Ovis aries: one gene and its partner. The protein of the gene in region 1 interacts with the protein of each later gene in a pairwise test. Links are inferred from orthologs where the notes say so. Each region holds a gene or a part of one and is shown on either strand. Other genes may lie near its edges.

Evidence for each region. The genes of interacting proteins can lie anywhere in the genome.
Region 2: the proteins of RAB29 (region 1) and CSTPP1 interact in a two-hybrid assay, tested with the Homo sapiens proteins (2 studies listed by BioGRID and IntAct). The two-hybrid records come from large-scale screens. The link is inferred for Ovis aries from reciprocal best matches to the Homo sapiens genes RAB29 and CSTPP1.

What each region holds. Positions count from the first base shown.
Region 1 is NC_056065.1:3,369,217-3,373,523, forward strand, and holds the start of RAB29 (ras-related protein Rab-7L1), read right to left. Parts: upstream 2,882-4,307; 5' UTR 2,698-2,881; exon of another isoform or gene 2,640-2,697; intron 2,521-2,639; 5' UTR 2,419-2,520; coding exon 2,295-2,418; intron 445-2,294; coding exon 373-444; intron 1-372. UniProt on the Homo sapiens protein: The small GTPases Rab are key regulators in vesicle trafficking. Essential for maintaining the integrity of the endosome-trans-Golgi network structure.
Region 2 is NC_056068.1:75,987,250-75,990,533, forward strand, and holds the end of CSTPP1 (centriolar satellite-associated tubulin polyglutamylase complex regulator 1), read left to right. Parts: intron 1-1,582; coding exon 1,583-1,646; intron 1,647-1,896; coding exon 1,897-2,071; 3' UTR 2,072-2,664; downstream 2,665-3,284. UniProt on the Homo sapiens protein: Regulator of the tubulin polyglutamylase complex (TPGC) that controls cytoskeletal organization, nuclear shape, and cilium disassembly by balancing microtubule and actin assembly.

The DNA.
Region 1 (4,307 bases):
CAAAGTGATGTCTCTGCTTTTTAATACACTGTCTAGCTATTATTATTGTCTTTTCACTTGTTTCTCACCAAGGTTAGCTGGAAACCTTAGAAAGAGCACCCTCTGCCTGCTGTGGGAGCATCTGCCTATGGTCTTCACAGTTCACTACCTCACCACCCCTCCACCCGCACAGAGACTGCTCTATATTTATTCAGGGTAAAACATTTACAGAACACATCTACAAAAGCTCTACATCTATTCAGCTTACATATCCTCAGAGCAGTCTGATCATTCCAGCTTCAGAAAAAAAAGTTTGGTTCTACTTTTTCTCTGAAAGCTTGTTGGTTAAACCAAAATGTCTCCCCTTATTCTTGTCCCGTTTTCCCATCCTACCTGCAATATCCCACAGCTGGAGGCGCACCATCTCTGAGTCAGACCACTGGAGAACCTTCAGAGCAAAATCCACTGAAAATATATGTATAATATACTTGAATAAAGTTTACCTTTAAAAAGTCCACAAAGTCATATCAAACATGCAGATACAACCCTAGGGACACACAACTCCAATCAAATTCATTCATTCATTGTTGGTTTATTTGGTTATTTTAAGCCCTCAATGGACCACACCCATGTACTAAATATGGGACATATAATTCACATGCATCTTCTGAAGGCATCTCTGGCTTTTACTCTCTTGTCAAACCAATTATTTGATCCTACTAATACTGCCTTATCTCTTTTCAGACAGTTGGCTCAGGCTGAGAAAACTCAATTGGAGAATATTAGGTGAGAGTAATTACAAAAACAACTTATCTTAGGTTAAACAGTTTTTGGAAGATTTAGGGGGCTTTCTCAGGGAAGGGATGATGAGGTAGAAGACGGAAATGAGGTAAGTGTGTTGGCCTTTGCATTTTCCACGTTCAATTTCTCTGTTGGTTTCTAACCCAATTGTATTATGAGAAAATCACAACCTTGGGGGAATTCTACATCCTTCATAAGGCTGTAGGAATTATCCTGGGCAGGAATGAGATAAAGTGAAAAGGTCCCAGAGGATTCACCCCATGGGTGATGCTTAAGAGCTGTGCTGGAAGCTCCTGCCACATCTGTAGATGCTGAGACTCCATGAGTTAAGGCCAAGGGGGAAGAGCGTTTGACAAAGACAGAAACAGGATAATTTCTGATGTTTGGAAATATATTTCTTCACATCTATGACAGAAATGAAAGCTAGGGGAAATTTAGAATAAACACTGAAAAAAATAGCCAGTCAATTATATTCTTTACTATAGGAAAACTAGAGCAATTGTTAAAAATTAGGAGGATACTTTTAAACCAAATCCGTGAATCAGAGGCCCTCATGTTACTTATTTGTTTGTTTGTTTGAAACTTAAAACCCTTCATTTTGATGGATGCTCTTAAGGAAGATGTCTTAATTGGATGTTAATTTTTAAAAATTCCATAATGAACACTAGTGTACATTTTCAAAATTTGTATTACAAAAGTTCTTTTAATGGAGATAAATAAATGTTTGTTATTTTTCCTCTTCACCAGCTCTCCCCAGCTAAACTTTTAATTAAAAAGCATTCTCCTACTTCTGGAAAGATAGTTGAGTCCAAAGGCCACACCTGGAAAGAAGTGAATTAACTCCTGGTGTCCCCCTTGTCCTTTGCCTCCCTAGTTTGAGAGAAAAAGGGGTGGGAAAATAAAAAAGTGGTATATTTTACACTAGGAATAGGTTGTCTTTAAACAATCAATGGACAAAAACCACACAGCTCATCAGCCTCTGACAGTGTCCAAGTGCTCTCCTGGGCAAGCATCTCCATAACGAAGCCAGGCTCCTTGAGGCCAGGTTAAACACCCTTCTGTTCCTTCAACAGCTGTCTGTAACTCTCGTGAAAGGTAGAACAGCAGCCCCAGATGGTACCTAACCAGGTTCTTCAGAAGGTCTCAGTGGAGTCCGCTTGTCGCAGAGATTTGCAGGTGACTGCTAGGAAGGCTGGAGGCTTGAGTTCACAGTTCCCCAGCGAAACGCAGCAACTGCTCATTTTCTCACCCACCCTTCCCCATTTCCTACCGTCACACTTTGCCTTTCTCTCTCGAGACAGCTCTGACTGGGAAAATTTAACTGGAAACCACCTCCCCCCACCCGCCCCACGCCCCGAGAGACATGCACATCAAACACCAGGGTCTCAGACAGCTCCTTCCTGGCCCGGGGAAGGACCCAAAGCCGGCAAAACCCCCGGCCCCCAGCCCACTCCAGTCTGCGGCTAGTCGCAGGACCCCGGCCGCTCCCCCGACCGCCCCTCGCAGCGTCTCACCTCCCACCGTGGACTTGTAGTGTTTGCTGAAGCTGTCCTGGGAATATCGCTGCACCAGGGACGTCTTGCCCACCGCGGCGTCCCCCACCACCAGCACTTTGAACAGGTGGTCGCGGCTGCTCATGGCTAGCGGGATGGGGGGCTCGCTTATCTTCACCCCTTGGTCTAGGGACCCCCGCTCAAACTGAAGTGTGGCATACCCGCCCCATGGCCCGTGAGGGCGACTCTGAAGAGAAAGCAAAAAATATAAAAGGAAACTTTGCGCTCAACTAGACGCGCTTCCTCCCCGCGCTGCCGCAGCCTGGGCGGGGCGCAGGGCGCAGGCCCTGAGCCCCGGGCTGTTACCTTCTTCCCCGGCCCGCCCGGCCGCCGAGAAAAGGGGCGAGGCACCACGATGCCTTACTCTCCGGACTTCCCCGGAGCTGCTCCGGCGGGCGACGGAACACGGCCAGCTTATTTCACCTCACGGTGGGGAGGAGATGGGGGCCATCCCCTAACTGCACAGACCAAATTCGGGGGGAAAGAGAGCCGTATGCCTAGCCTCCCCCGGACCCCCGACCGCCTCAGGTGGCGCGGTCCCCTCGCCTGCCTCCGCGTGTCACGTGCAGCGTCGCTTGGCGCACTACACTTCCCAGCGTACCTTGCGGCGAAGGCCGCTTGCCGAGCGCAGCGACTCGCCCGCATGGATTCCTGGGAGTGTAGTTTATACGCTATTTTTTTTTTTAAATACACTTAGTTTCAAACTCCTTCAATGGTTTGGAATTTTATTTTTAAATAATTCTGCGATAGAAAACATCCTTCAGAAAGCGGTTTGTTCGGCATGATCTAACCTTCCTAAATCTGTCTCCACATACATGTCTCATCTTTAATAAAAGTTTCATGGAGCTAAGATTTAAAAAATTATTCCATAGATTCCATATATTATTTCCACTAATAAAAGCTCAAGCCTCATCCCTCATGCTTCAAGTCCATTTCCTATTCTTCCAAATGGATAGATAGACATACCCACCCCAAAAGACCTCAAACCAGTCAAATTTAAGGACATTAAAAGACCGACTCAGGAAATCCCATGTCGTTAAATGTTAGTTATTAATATTTAATAACTTGTTACTGCAGTAAAGACAGAAAACAACAGACGGTTCCTCATTCTCACTTGCACAATCTTCGGTCACACTACACCGCTCACATCATTTGAGCTGGAAGTTGACTGAAGTACACTGCCAGTCCTCCTCCATTTGTTTCTGCTGTTGCTCATGAATAATGATTAAACTACAGTTTTGTGAATATTTTTAATTTTTTAGTCTGTAACTTCTGACCTGCCTGCCCTTTAGGTAGGAGTTAAGTGGACATGAGCTTCATGGCAAACAAAATAATCTCCATTTTCTATGCTTTTCCCAAGAATAGAAGAGAAAGCAACAGGAAGAAGAAAAAAATCAACCCTGCTCGGGTCTCTTGACCTTAACCTCGAGGAGAGACCATCAGCATGATTCACAATGTTTGTTAACCAGGTAGGGAAGGTCAGGCTAGGCTTCTCATCTTTTTGGAATGTCCCAGTTTCCTTCCCAATGGTCTTTTCTCAGTTTCCGTTGGCTTTGACATAGTGAACAATTTCTCGAAATTTGCTTCTCATGTGACTTAGTGACGCCGTTCTTTCTTGTTCAGCCTCCTTCTTCTCTGATGATCACCTTATTTCACCATTTCCTTTCATCCTATCACTCTTTAAGTATTTCTAAAGGCTTGATTCTCGGTCCCTCTGAGCTGATCATTCTTTAACCTTTTTACTTTGGTGAATTGCCCTTGGCATCACATTTCTCTTTGTCTAAGTTTTATTTATATCTTCATCTCCAATCAGTTTTGCTCAACTGATATAAAGGTACTTTTAGTTGGCTGTCCTGCCAGAGCCTCCCTTTCACAGCTTCACCTCAAAAACAACTATTTCTGTCACTGGCCTCATCATTTCTTCCTTCCACTCAGACCTGAAATTTTTTATTTTACTGTGGTAGGAACACTTAA
Region 2 (3,284 bases), on another chromosome or scaffold:
CATCACCACCCCCAGAGCTTGAGAGGGTTCTTCTTCCTATTTTTCAAACAAGAAAGAGCGCATCCGCCTGCTCCTTTCTTAAACTGTTCGTGGTTTTGGCTGTACTGGGTCTTCGTCGCTGCGTGCAACCTTTCTCTAGTTGTGGAAGCCGGGGCTCCTCTCTAGTTTCGGTGCACGGGCTTCTCTTTGCGGTGGCTTCTCGTTGCGGCATGCCAGCTCTAGGGGAAGTGGCCTTCAGTAGTTGTGGAGCGTGGACCTTAGTTACCCGGCCAGCGATGGAGCTCACGTCCCCTGCAGCGCTGGGCCAGTGGGAGACGGAAAGCAGCATAGGGTCCGTCCTCACTTGCGTCTCCCGTGTATGGAAAAGCGACCTGAGCTACCCCAGGTGCAGCCAGCTGTGGAGGGGGGCTGTGCTGTTCCCTTAGTCCTCAAAGCGGGATACACGCATACAGGCACACGAGGGCTCCATCACACAGTGTGATCACCACTAACACCAAAGGGGCCAAGAAGCATCATCTGAAAAGGTCAGAACTGCAGAGCCAGATGGACAATTTTAAGATTGAGGCTTCCCGGGGACCACCACTGTTCACTAGCTTCTGACCAGGATTGCGGCTCTTTTAAGTTTGCTGATAAAGAATCTTTCTATCTGCAGACTCCAGCTCTACCTTCCCTCCCACTGTTAACAGCCCCAGGGGGCAGCCTGGACCCCTCCTCTCACCGTTCCCAACATCTGAGAATGACTGCCCTTGGTTTGTAGTCGAGGAAACCTGCTGAGTGATCTGTCAGGGAAGGGACAGCGCCCCTCCTGGCGGCTCGCGGCCAAGCGAGGAGAGCTGGGTCTCATCCTGACCCCGCCTTCCCTTCTCACCCTGGGACCCGGGAGGAGCTGAGACAGCATTTTTGACCATTCTGTCCCCAAAGTGGGATCCCCCTGATCTGGTGGCGCAAAACTAGGTAATTTCTGGCCTTTGGGGCCTTGGCCGTGTCCTGTGTCTCTGGCTTCTTTCTTTTCAGCTTAGGACCTGGAGCCTCAGGAAAGGACTAAACCCTCAGCACCAGCTCGTGCATGAGTGCTAAGTCCCTTCAGCCATGTCTGACTCTTTGTGGCCCCATGGACTGTAGCTCGCCAGGCTCCTCAGTTCAAGGGATTCCCCAGGCAAGAACACTGGCGTGGGTTACCATTTCCTTCTCCAGGGGATCTTGCTGACCGAGATCGAACCCTTGCCTGTCTCGTCTCCTGCACTGGCAGGCGGGCTCTTTACCACTAGCACCACCTCACAACACACCATCTAGTCTTGGAAGACCATTCTGTTTGTGCAGTGACCTTGAGTTTCGGGGCTGTCTCGTAGTTATGATCAGGGAGGGGAGGCAGGGGGGTTCACTAGATTTCTCCAGCAGCACCTAGGGCTTACTGCCCCCAGAGCAGATCTCTTAAACCTCTGTTCCCTGAATCTTCTAGATCAGCTCTCCCAGGGTCGACATTGTAGGCAGATGTGACGATGAGGGGCACAGAGGCAGCTACTGGCTGAAGCCCGGGTGGAGGACCCTCGGGTTAAGTTCTGTGCCCCCAATTATTCCCTAGGAGCCTTGCCCGACAGAGGGGACCTGATGCACGACCCAGCCATGGATGAGGAACTGGAGCGGCTGTAAGTGTTACATGGGAAGATGCTGCCCCCTTGTGGGCACCAGACCCCAGTCGATCAGAGCCCGACAAGGGCCACTGAGCACTTGTCCATCGGTCAGGGAAGGCTTGGGGGGCCGATGGAGGCCTGAGACAGCCTCTCTTTGAACCCTTTGGGGAGGCAGCCTGTGGTCTCACACACGCGAGAGTGGGTGAAGGGGTCCTGGTCTCTGGACAAGAGGCACCTCGCTCCCTTTGGGCATCTCCTTCTTCAGGCTGGCGCAGATACCAGGCCTGGTCACCTCAGTCACTGCCGGTCCAGAGGCCAGCTGCCTGCCTCCCCGGACCCCTCCCCGGGTTGGCTCCCCTTGGAGACCCCTCCATCATGCCCGCAAAGTGGATGCAGAAAGCGATGGCTCCACTGAAGAGACAGATGAGTCCGAGACTTGAGGAGCCTGAAGGGTCCTGTCTACAGCACAGAACCCAGCCCTGGGTCCAGTTCCCAGCACCCCACCTGCTCAACTCCCCACCCGCCTCCAAACCCTAGGACCCCAGGCCTCTCTCCTCCCACTCCCTGTGCCGAGCTGCCCTCCACTGGCACTGCCCTCCACTGGCGAGGCCAAGTGACAGCCCCAGCCCAGAGACCCGCCAGAGAGGTGCTGATAAGCCAAGCTACGCAGTGACCCTAGAAAGTTAACAGCCGACTTTCTCCCATCAGCCTGCCTTTCACCAGGCCCCAAGCTGACAGCGGACTGAGCTGAGGCCACGGGAAGGGTGACTTGGTTTTACCTTTTTGCTGACCATCCCCATCTCCTCACAGCAATTCCAGGAACCATGCAGAGCCTTGCATGGTCAAGGGTGACACCCAGCCAGTGATGCAGGTATTAGGATACAGCCATGGTAGCTTTCTGCGGGAGGACTAGCCACTAGCCGTGAGATGAAGGGTGGGCAAAAAGAAATTTCACTTTCAGAAACCGCGTCAAATCTCCTCTGTGTCTAATAGTTAAACATGTGAAATGAATAAAGTCCCTTGTGTCTGGTAAGTGGTGAGTCTAAAGCCATGAGACAGGGGTGAAGGGAAGGGGCGAGTTTGAGATTTTGATGCCAAGTTCCAGTTTCTTCTGGCAGGACTGGGAAGTTGGGGGACAAAGGACTACTCGACCTGGAGACCTGTCTCAGATCATGAGCAAAGAGGGACTCACCAGCTGCACATGAGCTCTGCCTTTCATGGGAAAGGTGGCCACAGCTGGACAGAGCTTTCAGGAACAAGCTCAGATGGCTCAAGGCCAGGTGCCCACAACTTGAGAGACGGGCCACCAGGGGCTGCCATCACAGGTTCATTAAACATTTTCTAAGCACCTGCTCAGGGTTAGGCCAGTAGGGGTGCAGCTGAGAACAAGACAGGCGGAGTACCAGCTTCCAGCCAGAGCTGGACAGTAAGGCGCGTGGTCTGCAACTTCCAGAAAGTAAAACCACCCCAGGACCCAAGCAGAGCAGGCTTCCTCCTCTGCAACTGCCAGACACCCACATTTTCCTTGGCTCATCCCTGCCCAGACCAGCACCCCCTGGAGAGTTACAGGACCAGCCGCTCCCACAGCTCTGCCGGGCCAGGCTGGTGACCACTGAGGCATCTGCAGCCTCCAGCTCGCCAGCCGACTGGGAG